Linked DNA regions of Macaca fascicularis. The protein of the gene in region 1 interacts with the protein of each later gene in a pairwise test. Links are inferred from orthologs where the notes say so. Each region holds a gene or a part of one and is shown on either strand. Other genes may lie near its edges. The genes, in order: CREB3L1 and FXYD3.

Region 1 (4,396 bases):
TCCCGGCACTTTGGGAGTCCGAGGTGGGTGGATCATGAGGTCAGGAGATCGAGACCATCCTGGCTAACACGGTGAAACCCCGTCTCTAATAAAAATGCAAAAAAAATTAGCTGAGCGTGGTGGCAGGCGCCTGTAGTCCCAGCTACTTGAGAGGCTGAGGCAGGAGAATGGCGTGAACCCGGGAGGCGGAGTTTGCAGTGAGCCAAGATCTCGCCACTGCACTCCAGCCTGGGCGACAGAGCAAGACTCCATCTCAAAAAATAAATAAATAAATAAATAAAGTCACTTTTCTGAATTCTCCCGCTGGCTGGTGGCAGAAACACAGACAGAATTAAATCTCTTGATTCCCAGCCCAAGAGTCCTTTCTCTCTTTCTTTAGGCACCCCATCTTCTCCCGCTGCCTCTCCTGGCCCTGCCCAGGTGCAAGATCAGGAGCCTCCCCAGCAGGGCTTTTCCTCCCCAGTGTCCCAGTGCTGGATCCCACTGTCTGGTCGTGCCTCCTTTCCTGTGCTGGACCAAGGCCCAGATGAGCAGCTGGGGACACAGGGCTGAATGGAGCAGCAGGAAGAGGCTGCGGGCGGCTGAGTTCATTCAGAAGAAAGCCCAACTCAGAGCTTCCAAGGGCCGAGGGAAGCTTACTGCAGGGCTCTACTGCCTCCCTTGACTTCAAGGGTCTGAGCTCTGACAAACCTCTTTCCCTCTGACTAGTGTCTTTTACCAACCTCAAGAGAAGGTGTGGATCCCCTGATCCCTGCTGCTTTATTCCTGGGATCTGTGCCAGAACCATCTGTAGGAAGACCTGATCCAACATCTCCCCCATTTTACAGACAAAGAAACTGAGGCCCAGGGAGGAGATCCAGTGGTATGGGCCAAGCTCACAGGGGAAGCAGAGCCAGGACTAGAAACCAAGTCTCTCTGCTGTCAATGCAAGCCCTCTCCCCTTGTACCCTTGTTCTGTCTGATGAATTATGCTCTCTCTGCCTGGGACAAGGGGCCTTCCTCAGAGCGCACAGTGACCAGGATGTGCTGTTTAATGGAGAACAGGGAGACCTCAGTCCCCATGCCTCCTTGACTCTGGCTCCTGTCCCTTGGCCTGGCTCCTCACCATCAATCTAGTGGCCTGGGACAGTTTAGGTGGAAGTCCAAGATGCTCAAGTCCTCTAAGGACTTGGCTCTTGCCTGGCCAAGTTTATCTTGGTCCTGGGAGGTAGAGATCAGCAGGTAAAGAGTCTCAAGTGCTTGATCACAGGGTGTGTGTATGTGTGTGTGTGTGGTGTGTACAGGCATGCACATGCAACTGGTGGTTCACTGAAGAGGGGGCTCCCACTAGATTCCCCAACAATCCACATTTCATCTAGGCAGGCCCTTCTGAACCTAAATATTTTCTCCCATTCTAAGCCCATGCCCCTCCCCCATCAAGGCCTTAGGGCTGAGCCTGAGAGAGGGAGGGAGGGAAGAAGAGAGAGAAGCCACGTTTCCTTAGGGAGGGAGGGGAAGAGTGAGAAAGAGGAGAAAGACAAGCTCACAGTCGGACCTAGTCAAGAAGACATAGGGAGAGGGAGAGAGAAAGTCAGCCAGACTCCAGGAACAGAGGGACAGAGCAGAGATCTAGAGGCAGATGGAGAGAAAGGGCTCCCATCCTCCTGAGCCAGCACCCTGTGTTGCCCTGACTGCCTCCCCCCAGCCCCCAGCCTCAGGTCCCTCCCTGGGGGGGGGGTCTCTGGCCCTGATTCCCTGGGGCTGCCATGGTAGCACCCTGAAGTTTCCGGGCCTGACTGAGAACCCGGGTCTGGCTCTGATCCCCGAGGGGCGTCGGGTCTCAGACCCTCAGAACGCTCCCGGGTGCGCCTCCCAGCGGAGGTCCAGCCTAAGAGCCACAGAAGCCCCAGGGGAGGCGCAGGAAAGGGCGCTGCCACTTTGCGCCCAGTCTGGTCCTGGAACCTGGGGTGGGTTGGGACGGCTAGAAGACGTGGGTGGAGGGCGGGATTGGCGTCTCTTGAGCTCAGATCCAAGGATCGGACGGCCCCGATACCTCGATGACCCCTTCCCCTAGAAGGTGGAGGCCAATGTGTTCAAGGATTGCGCCCCCAGGAGGGGCGCGCACTGGCACCAGCTCCGAGGCTTAGGTCAGGCGGGGGTCCAAGGGAGGTGTCGAGGGACCTACTCGTCAAATCTCGGAGCTCCAAACACATGTCGCTCCGGGAGACCCTGCGCTGAACCCTTTCCCCGCTCCTGCCCAGTGATGTGTAGTCGGGTCCTTCTAGGGGCCCAGGCGCGCCGCGAAGAAGGGTGCCGAGGGGTGGAACGGGAACGGAGACCCTTCGTCTTACCGCATTGTTGAGGAAGTCCGACTCGTTCAGATCCCCCAAGTCCAGGAAGCTGGATCCGGGGAACAGCCTGTCGGCCGGGAATGGTTCCAAGACGGCGTCCATCGCGGCCGGCTCCCGGGACCCCCTTCGACTGGGCTTCCCTCACTCCAGGGCGGCGGCGCGCCCAGTCCAGAGCTCCTGCCTGAGCGCTGGCAAGCGGGCGGGGGGCAGGTCCGGGGCGAAGCCCCGGGGGAGGGGCAGACGGAGGCGGCGCGGCCCCGGGTCGGGGGCGCGGGGGGCGCGGGGGCCTTAGGGCAGCGGCTAGGAGCAGGATGGGCTCAGGGGCCCCGGGCGCACTGTGGGCATTCAGCCGACTCCACCTCCTCCTGCTCCTCCTGGGGCACAGCTGGCTTCCATGGGGAGCCCGGGGGTGGGGCTGAGGGCTTGAGGAGCCCCCCGGACAGGGTGGGAGCCGGGGCGGGGGAGCTAAGCGCTCCCCCGAGACTGGGTGGCTGCCGGCCTCTCCGCTGTCTCTGCTTCTCCCTCCGCACCGCTTCTGTCACTTTCCTCTCTGTGAAACCGGGAACCCCTGGCTGGCTACCCCAGCTGGCCAGGGCGCCACGCCCCCACATCAATATTCACAATAATTTAATATTAATGAGAAGAGGGCGTGGCTCGAGGAATCCTCTCTCATTTTTTAAAGAGACATCTGCAACTTCGTCTTCCTTAGTCATCTGTCTTCTCTGAATGCTCAAGGTGGGGGCTTAAAGCAACAATAGTCCTGGAACCGATAACAGTATTCTTGGAACATTGGCATTTTGTTAAGGTTTCACCAACCACTGTCCCGTAAGTTGATGAGAGAGCTATTTCCATCCTTCCAGCCTTATGCTAAAACCTGCACCAAACCCAGTCAGGGAATTCCATTTCACAGTCGCCTCAACAGATTTCCCCTCAACGGGGGAGATTTTCAGCTTTTTAAACAATTTATTTATTTATTTATTATTATTATTTTTTGATATGGAGTTTCGCTCTTTTTGCCCAGGCTGGAGTGCAATGATGTGATCTCGGCTCACTGCAACCTCTGCCTCCCATGTTCAAGCGATTCTTCTGCCTCAGTCTCCCGAGTACCTGGAATTACAGGCACGCCCCACCACACCCAGCTAATTTTTGTATTTTTAGTAGGGACAGGGTTTCACCATGTTGGCCAGGCTGGTCTCGAACTCCCGACCTCAGGTGATCTGCCCAACTTGGCCGCCCAAAGTGCTGGGATCACAGGTGTGAGCCACCACACCTGGCCAATTTTCAGCTTGTAACTCTCATTTCTCATCTCACATGTGTCTTCCTCCAGGAAGCCTTCTCTGAATCCCCAGGCTGGGGCAGTTACCAACGGTATACACCCACAGGGCATCATGTGCTCACCTCTGCTGTTTCCAGTCTAATGTGGTATTGTCTTTGTTTGCTCACGTTGTTTGTGTCTGTGACCCCACTAAGCTGTGAGACTGCTCAGGGCAAGGACTGTCCCCAGCTTCCCTGTGTGTGAAAGGGCTGGGTGAACAGCCAGAGATAGGAGAGAACCCCTCTTCTCCTTGATAGTCAAGTCCCTCCCCATCCCTCAATGGTTCTGAAGAGGAGGAAGTTGGAAAACAGTGGTTCTGGAATCTGAATGAGCCAAGGTGCTTGCTGGCTGCACACTCCACAGTCACCAGACACTCCCGGGGCCCCGGGATCCATTACCTAAGTGACTTGCTCCTGCGTACAAACTTAATATCTCAAAAGGGCTGATAACAATCACCAAGCACCTGAACAAATGGAGGTGGTTCAGAAAGGCACTCCCTCAGAGGGCTGGGCACACTGTTTTCTGACCAGAAGTCATTAATACGATTAAGTGTGTCCTCCCTGTCTGGGACATTTAATTAGCTCAGGAACCAAAAGGCCTTTAAGAAGTAGAGATGTCATTGCAGCTAAGCTATGGATGTCACCAAAATTGCTCTCAGTGCCAGGTGGGAGAAGGGCTCATACCAAGGCTGACACAGCAGTTGTTTGCTTGCCTGGCAGGCGGGCAGGCACGTGGCTTTTCCCCACCTTAT
Region 2 (4,299 bases), on another chromosome or scaffold:
CTGGGCAACAGAGCGAGACTCTGTCTCAAAAAAAAAAAAAAAGAAAAGAAAAGAAAAGAAAGAAAGAAAAAAGAGGAAAAGTGTTTGGAAGTTAAAGATGCAGTCGCACCGAGCTGAGCCTTCTACTTGAAGTTTTTGGAAAATTTACAAGAGAACTGGCTGGGCAGTTATCTTATTTCAGTGCTTTGAAGGTGTAATTTCATTGTATTCTAGCTTCCATTATTTATGTTTAATAGTCAATCAAGGCCAGTGCAGTGTGGCTCGTGCCTGTAATCCCAGCACTTTGGAAGGCTGAGGTGGGAGGATCAAACTCAGCCAGAAGTTTGAGATCAGCTTGGGCAATACAGTGAGACCTCGTCTCTGCAAAATATTTAAAAATGAGCTGGGCTTGGTGGTGTGTGCCTAGAGTTCTAGCTGTGTAAGGCTAAGGGAGTAGCATTGCTTGACCCCAGGAGTTCAAGGCTGTAGTGAACTGTGATTGCACCATTGTACTCCAGCATGAGTGACAGAGACTCCCTTTCAAAAAAAAAAAAGAAAGAAAGAGCGAGAGAATGGGGAAGATGGTGACTTTCCAGCTGTGCGAGCCAGCTCTTCTTGTGTATCCCTGGCAATCACTAGTTTGACTTTACTTACCCTCAAGGAGATGCTGTTCTAACATTTACCACCTTCCCTGGGGTGGTAGAAAAGCACAGGAGAGAGACAGAGGCTTGGCAGCCCCCCATCCAGGGGATCCAGAGGAAAAGGCAGTTGGGGGATGGGTACTCACCTACCAGGAACACAAGCAGGCCCAGGGTCACCTTCTGCATGTCAGAGCGCGGGCCTAGAGGGGTGGCAGGAGGTCCGGCCTTAGCAGAGCCACTGGGAGGCTGGCCCTGTGCCTATGGCTCCCCAACCCTCCTCCCCTGCTCCCCAGGCAGGGTGCGCAGTTCACCCAGGGCAAGAAGGCTGACATCTCGCTGGGCTGAGAGATAAGCTGCAGCTGCGCCGTGGAGTGGGGACTGGGTGAAACTCGGGCCTGACGCGGGAGGAGCCATAATAACTCACTGGACATGGACCAGGCTTTCTGTGAATCGCCCCGCAACCAAATGAGGGCACCACTGCCCGCTGTTGTCCTCATTGGACAGATGGGGAAACTGAGGCTCTGGGAGGCGAAACTAGGTGCCCTAGCCAGGAAGCAGGATTTAAGCCAGGCCTGGCTCCCCAGCAGCTGCTCCTAACTAAGGACTGTCAGGGCCTTGGGGTGTTTGGGGAAGCCAGGTGCTGGGAGCCAGGTGGCAGGAGGCCTGCTTCCCGGGGGTGTCTCCATAGACGGCTCAGAGCCTGCCTGGCCCTGCCAGGACATTGCAGACTTCAGGCTGCGGACTGAGCAGGTTCTTCAAGCTGCTCAGGGCGGGGTGTGTGGAGCAATTGACTTGAGGCTGGGACTGGGGGTAGAGGGGGACAAACTCAGCCTGGCTGCAGCCCTAGCTCCATCTCTGTTCCCCAGAACCTCCTGCCCCTCACCCCTCACCCATGCCCTTCCCGGTCCCAGCCCTGACCCTGCCTAGCCTGAGTCCCCAGCCCAGCCCCTGACCCTACCCTAGGCCCCGCAGAGCACTTTCTTTCCCAGGTAGACCTGCTCAGCATAAGGAACTTGTTTCTCTCTCCTTCCTGACCTGGCATCAGTCCTGCCCTCCCAGCCTGCAAGGCTGCACCAAGCCCGGGCCTCCAAGCATGCCCTCCCCTGCCCTGTTCCTGCCCAAATGCTGAGTGCATAGTTATCATAACTGTTTTTATTTTTTCTCTTTTTTTTGAGGCGGAGTTTCACTCTGTCGCCCAGGCTAGAGTGCAATGGCACAATCTCAGCTCACTGCAACTTCTGCCTCCTGGGTTCAAGCAATTCTTCTGCCTCAGCCTCCCGAGTAGCAGAGACTACAGACGTGTGCCACCATGCCTGGCTAATTTTTGTATTTTTGGTAGAGACAGGATTTCACCATGTTGGCCAGGTTGGTCTCGAACTCCTGACCTCAGGTGATCCACCCACCCGGGCCTCCCTAAGTGCTGGGATTACAGGTGTGAGCCACCGCACCTGGTCTAGTTATAATTTTGATAGCGAGAGCTGGTACTTCCTCCACCTTGCCCTGGGGTGCACACTGACCTTGCTGTGTTCTCACTCAACCCCCCAGCAATTTCATGGACAGCAAAAATGCTGAGAGAGGGTGGCGCCACAACCAACGGGTGGTCCCTGCAGGTTGGCACAGACTCCTCCCTCTGCCTACGCACCCCAGGGCCTGGGAATCCTCTCAGCTTCCCAGTTAATTCCACATGCTGAACTCACAATTTTAGTTTGAGCATCCATTTCTTTTCCTTTTTTTTTTTTTTTTTTTTTGTGGGAAGAAAGCCTGAGACTTTGGGGAGCATTACTGAGACCCAGGAAGTGTTTAAGATCCCCAAAAGTGTTGGGGGTCGGGGGACCTGGTGTGGGTGGGTGGGCAGGATGGCATGGTGGATAGGGGCACAGGTTGTAGGTAGACTGCCTGTGGTCTGAAGCTGTCACCCATAACCATATGAGTCCTGATAACAGCAGCAGATGTTTATTGAGTGTCTACCCCACGGGGCATTTCCTTAGCTTCCCACTTATTTGCTCAATCTCTGCAGCTTAATGTAGGGGGCACTATTATTAGCACACATTGCAGTTGTAATCCTGTAACCCCTGCAAATTCATCTTAAAGCCCTATGCTCTGTCGCCGTGGCTGTTGAGTCTCACCTCTTAAGCCTCTTTCCAGGGGCTCCTCCAAGCCACCTCTGGCCTGCAAGGCCCCACTATTCCCCCTTCCCATGATGTCATCCAGCCAAGACTAACAGATGGTATTTGCCTCGCCCCAGCCCCAGCCCCAGCTTCTGCAAAACAATGTCCAGCCCCACGTTTCTGGAGGCTGCAGGGAGCCGGGAGCTGGGTCTGCCCTCACATTCCTGATTCAGGCTATTGCTGAAGAGGCCCTGGACTGCTCCCAGACCAATGTGGTTGGTGGGCAGGTTAGAGAGGAAGGCAGCCCTGCAGCTGATGCTCTGTCTACCTGCCCTGATCCTTCCTGGCCACGAGGTCCCAAGGCCGGCCTGAGGACTGTTTGCCCCACCTGCCCTCTGCTATCCCCTCTATTCCTCCATACTGTAGGAGAAATGTCTCATGTTCAGGGGCGGGCAGAAAGATCCTGCCCGCTCTGTGCTCCTGAAATCTCCCAAGCAACTCCGTATTTACAACTTCCCCAACAGCTCTGTCCTCTTTTCCTGGAGGTTTCCAGAATCCACATCCCTCAGTGCCTGGACACCCCGAGTGCATCTAGCACTCCTCATCCACACAGATGTCCCCAGTCCATCTACGCACACCTGGTCCACTTAGATACCCCTACCTACCCAGGCACCCCCCTCTCTTCCACCCAGATATCCCCAACCCAGATACCCCTAATCCATGCAGACATCAGTCTTCCCAGACACCCCAACCACACTTACCAGTCCTGCCCTCACCCCAGCCAGCTCAACCAGTCCCTGAGAGGAGAATGGTGGGGAAAGGGACATTAGGGGAAGGGACTTTCTCCTATCTCCTGGCTCCAGAAAAACATTTCCAAAGATTTTAGGCTCTTTAACAGCAGAGCTTGTGTGTGGCAGGGTCAGTGGGCAGGTAGATACTCCCTCGTTTAGGGGCAGAGCCAAGGAGGGCTTGGAGGAAGGGGGCCCCAGCTGCTCACCTGTGTGGTTCACCAGGCTGAGCAGAGGTTCCGGGAGAAATCGGGGCTGCAAGGCGGAGTCCTGCCTTTATCCGAAGCTGCCACGCCCTGAGCAAACCTGGGCAGGTAGAAAACAAGTCAGATGCCCTAAGGCCCAGGGGCTCCGTTCCTGCTCTTAAAGAGACAGCTTCACCCCCTCCCCAGCCATCCCAGCCATGGGCAGCACGTTGCTCCCGGGGGTCACCAGGGCCACAGCAGCCTCAGGTGAGACAGAGAATTGGATGGGCTGGAGCTCGGTCCCTGGAATTAAGGGAGGAGCGCTCTCCAATCTTCTGTGCCCAGGAGAAGACCTTGAATGGGGAAGGTTCTGGGGTCTTTAAAAGGCAGAGCCTCCAGGGCCATGCAGGGAAGTGATGTGTTGGTGTTCCGACCTGACTTCTTTCCCTTAGATGATGTGTTTTGCCTGGTGGAAGGACTGCTGGCAATTGTGGGGGACTTAAATTCCCCTTCCAGGCCACAGGTTGCTGCAGGGACAATTTCAGGGTTATCAGAGATGCTGGCATGACCAAAGTCAGGAGATGGGGCAGGGGTGCGT

Evidence for each region.
Region 2: the proteins of CREB3L1 (region 1) and FXYD3 interact in binary tests that used the Homo sapiens proteins (3 or more experiments, as listed by UniProt). The two-hybrid records come from large-scale screens. The link is inferred for Macaca fascicularis from reciprocal best matches to the Homo sapiens genes CREB3L1 and FXYD3.

The regions. Positions count from the first base shown.
Region 1 is NC_088388.1:19,579,140-19,583,535, forward strand, and holds the start of CREB3L1 (cyclic AMP-responsive element-binding protein 3-like protein 1), read right to left. Parts: upstream 2,883-4,396; 5' UTR 2,433-2,882; coding exon 2,331-2,432; intron 1-2,330.
Region 2 is NC_088393.1:42,357,385-42,361,683, reverse strand, and holds the start of FXYD3 (FXYD domain-containing ion transport regulator 3), read right to left. Parts: upstream 2,835-4,299; 5' UTR 2,820-2,834; coding exon 2,747-2,819; intron 1,016-2,746; coding exon 932-1,015; intron 821-931; coding exon 767-820; intron 1-766. UniProt on the Homo sapiens protein: Associates with and regulates the activity of the sodium/potassium-transporting ATPase (NKA) which transports Na(+) out of the cell and K(+) into the cell.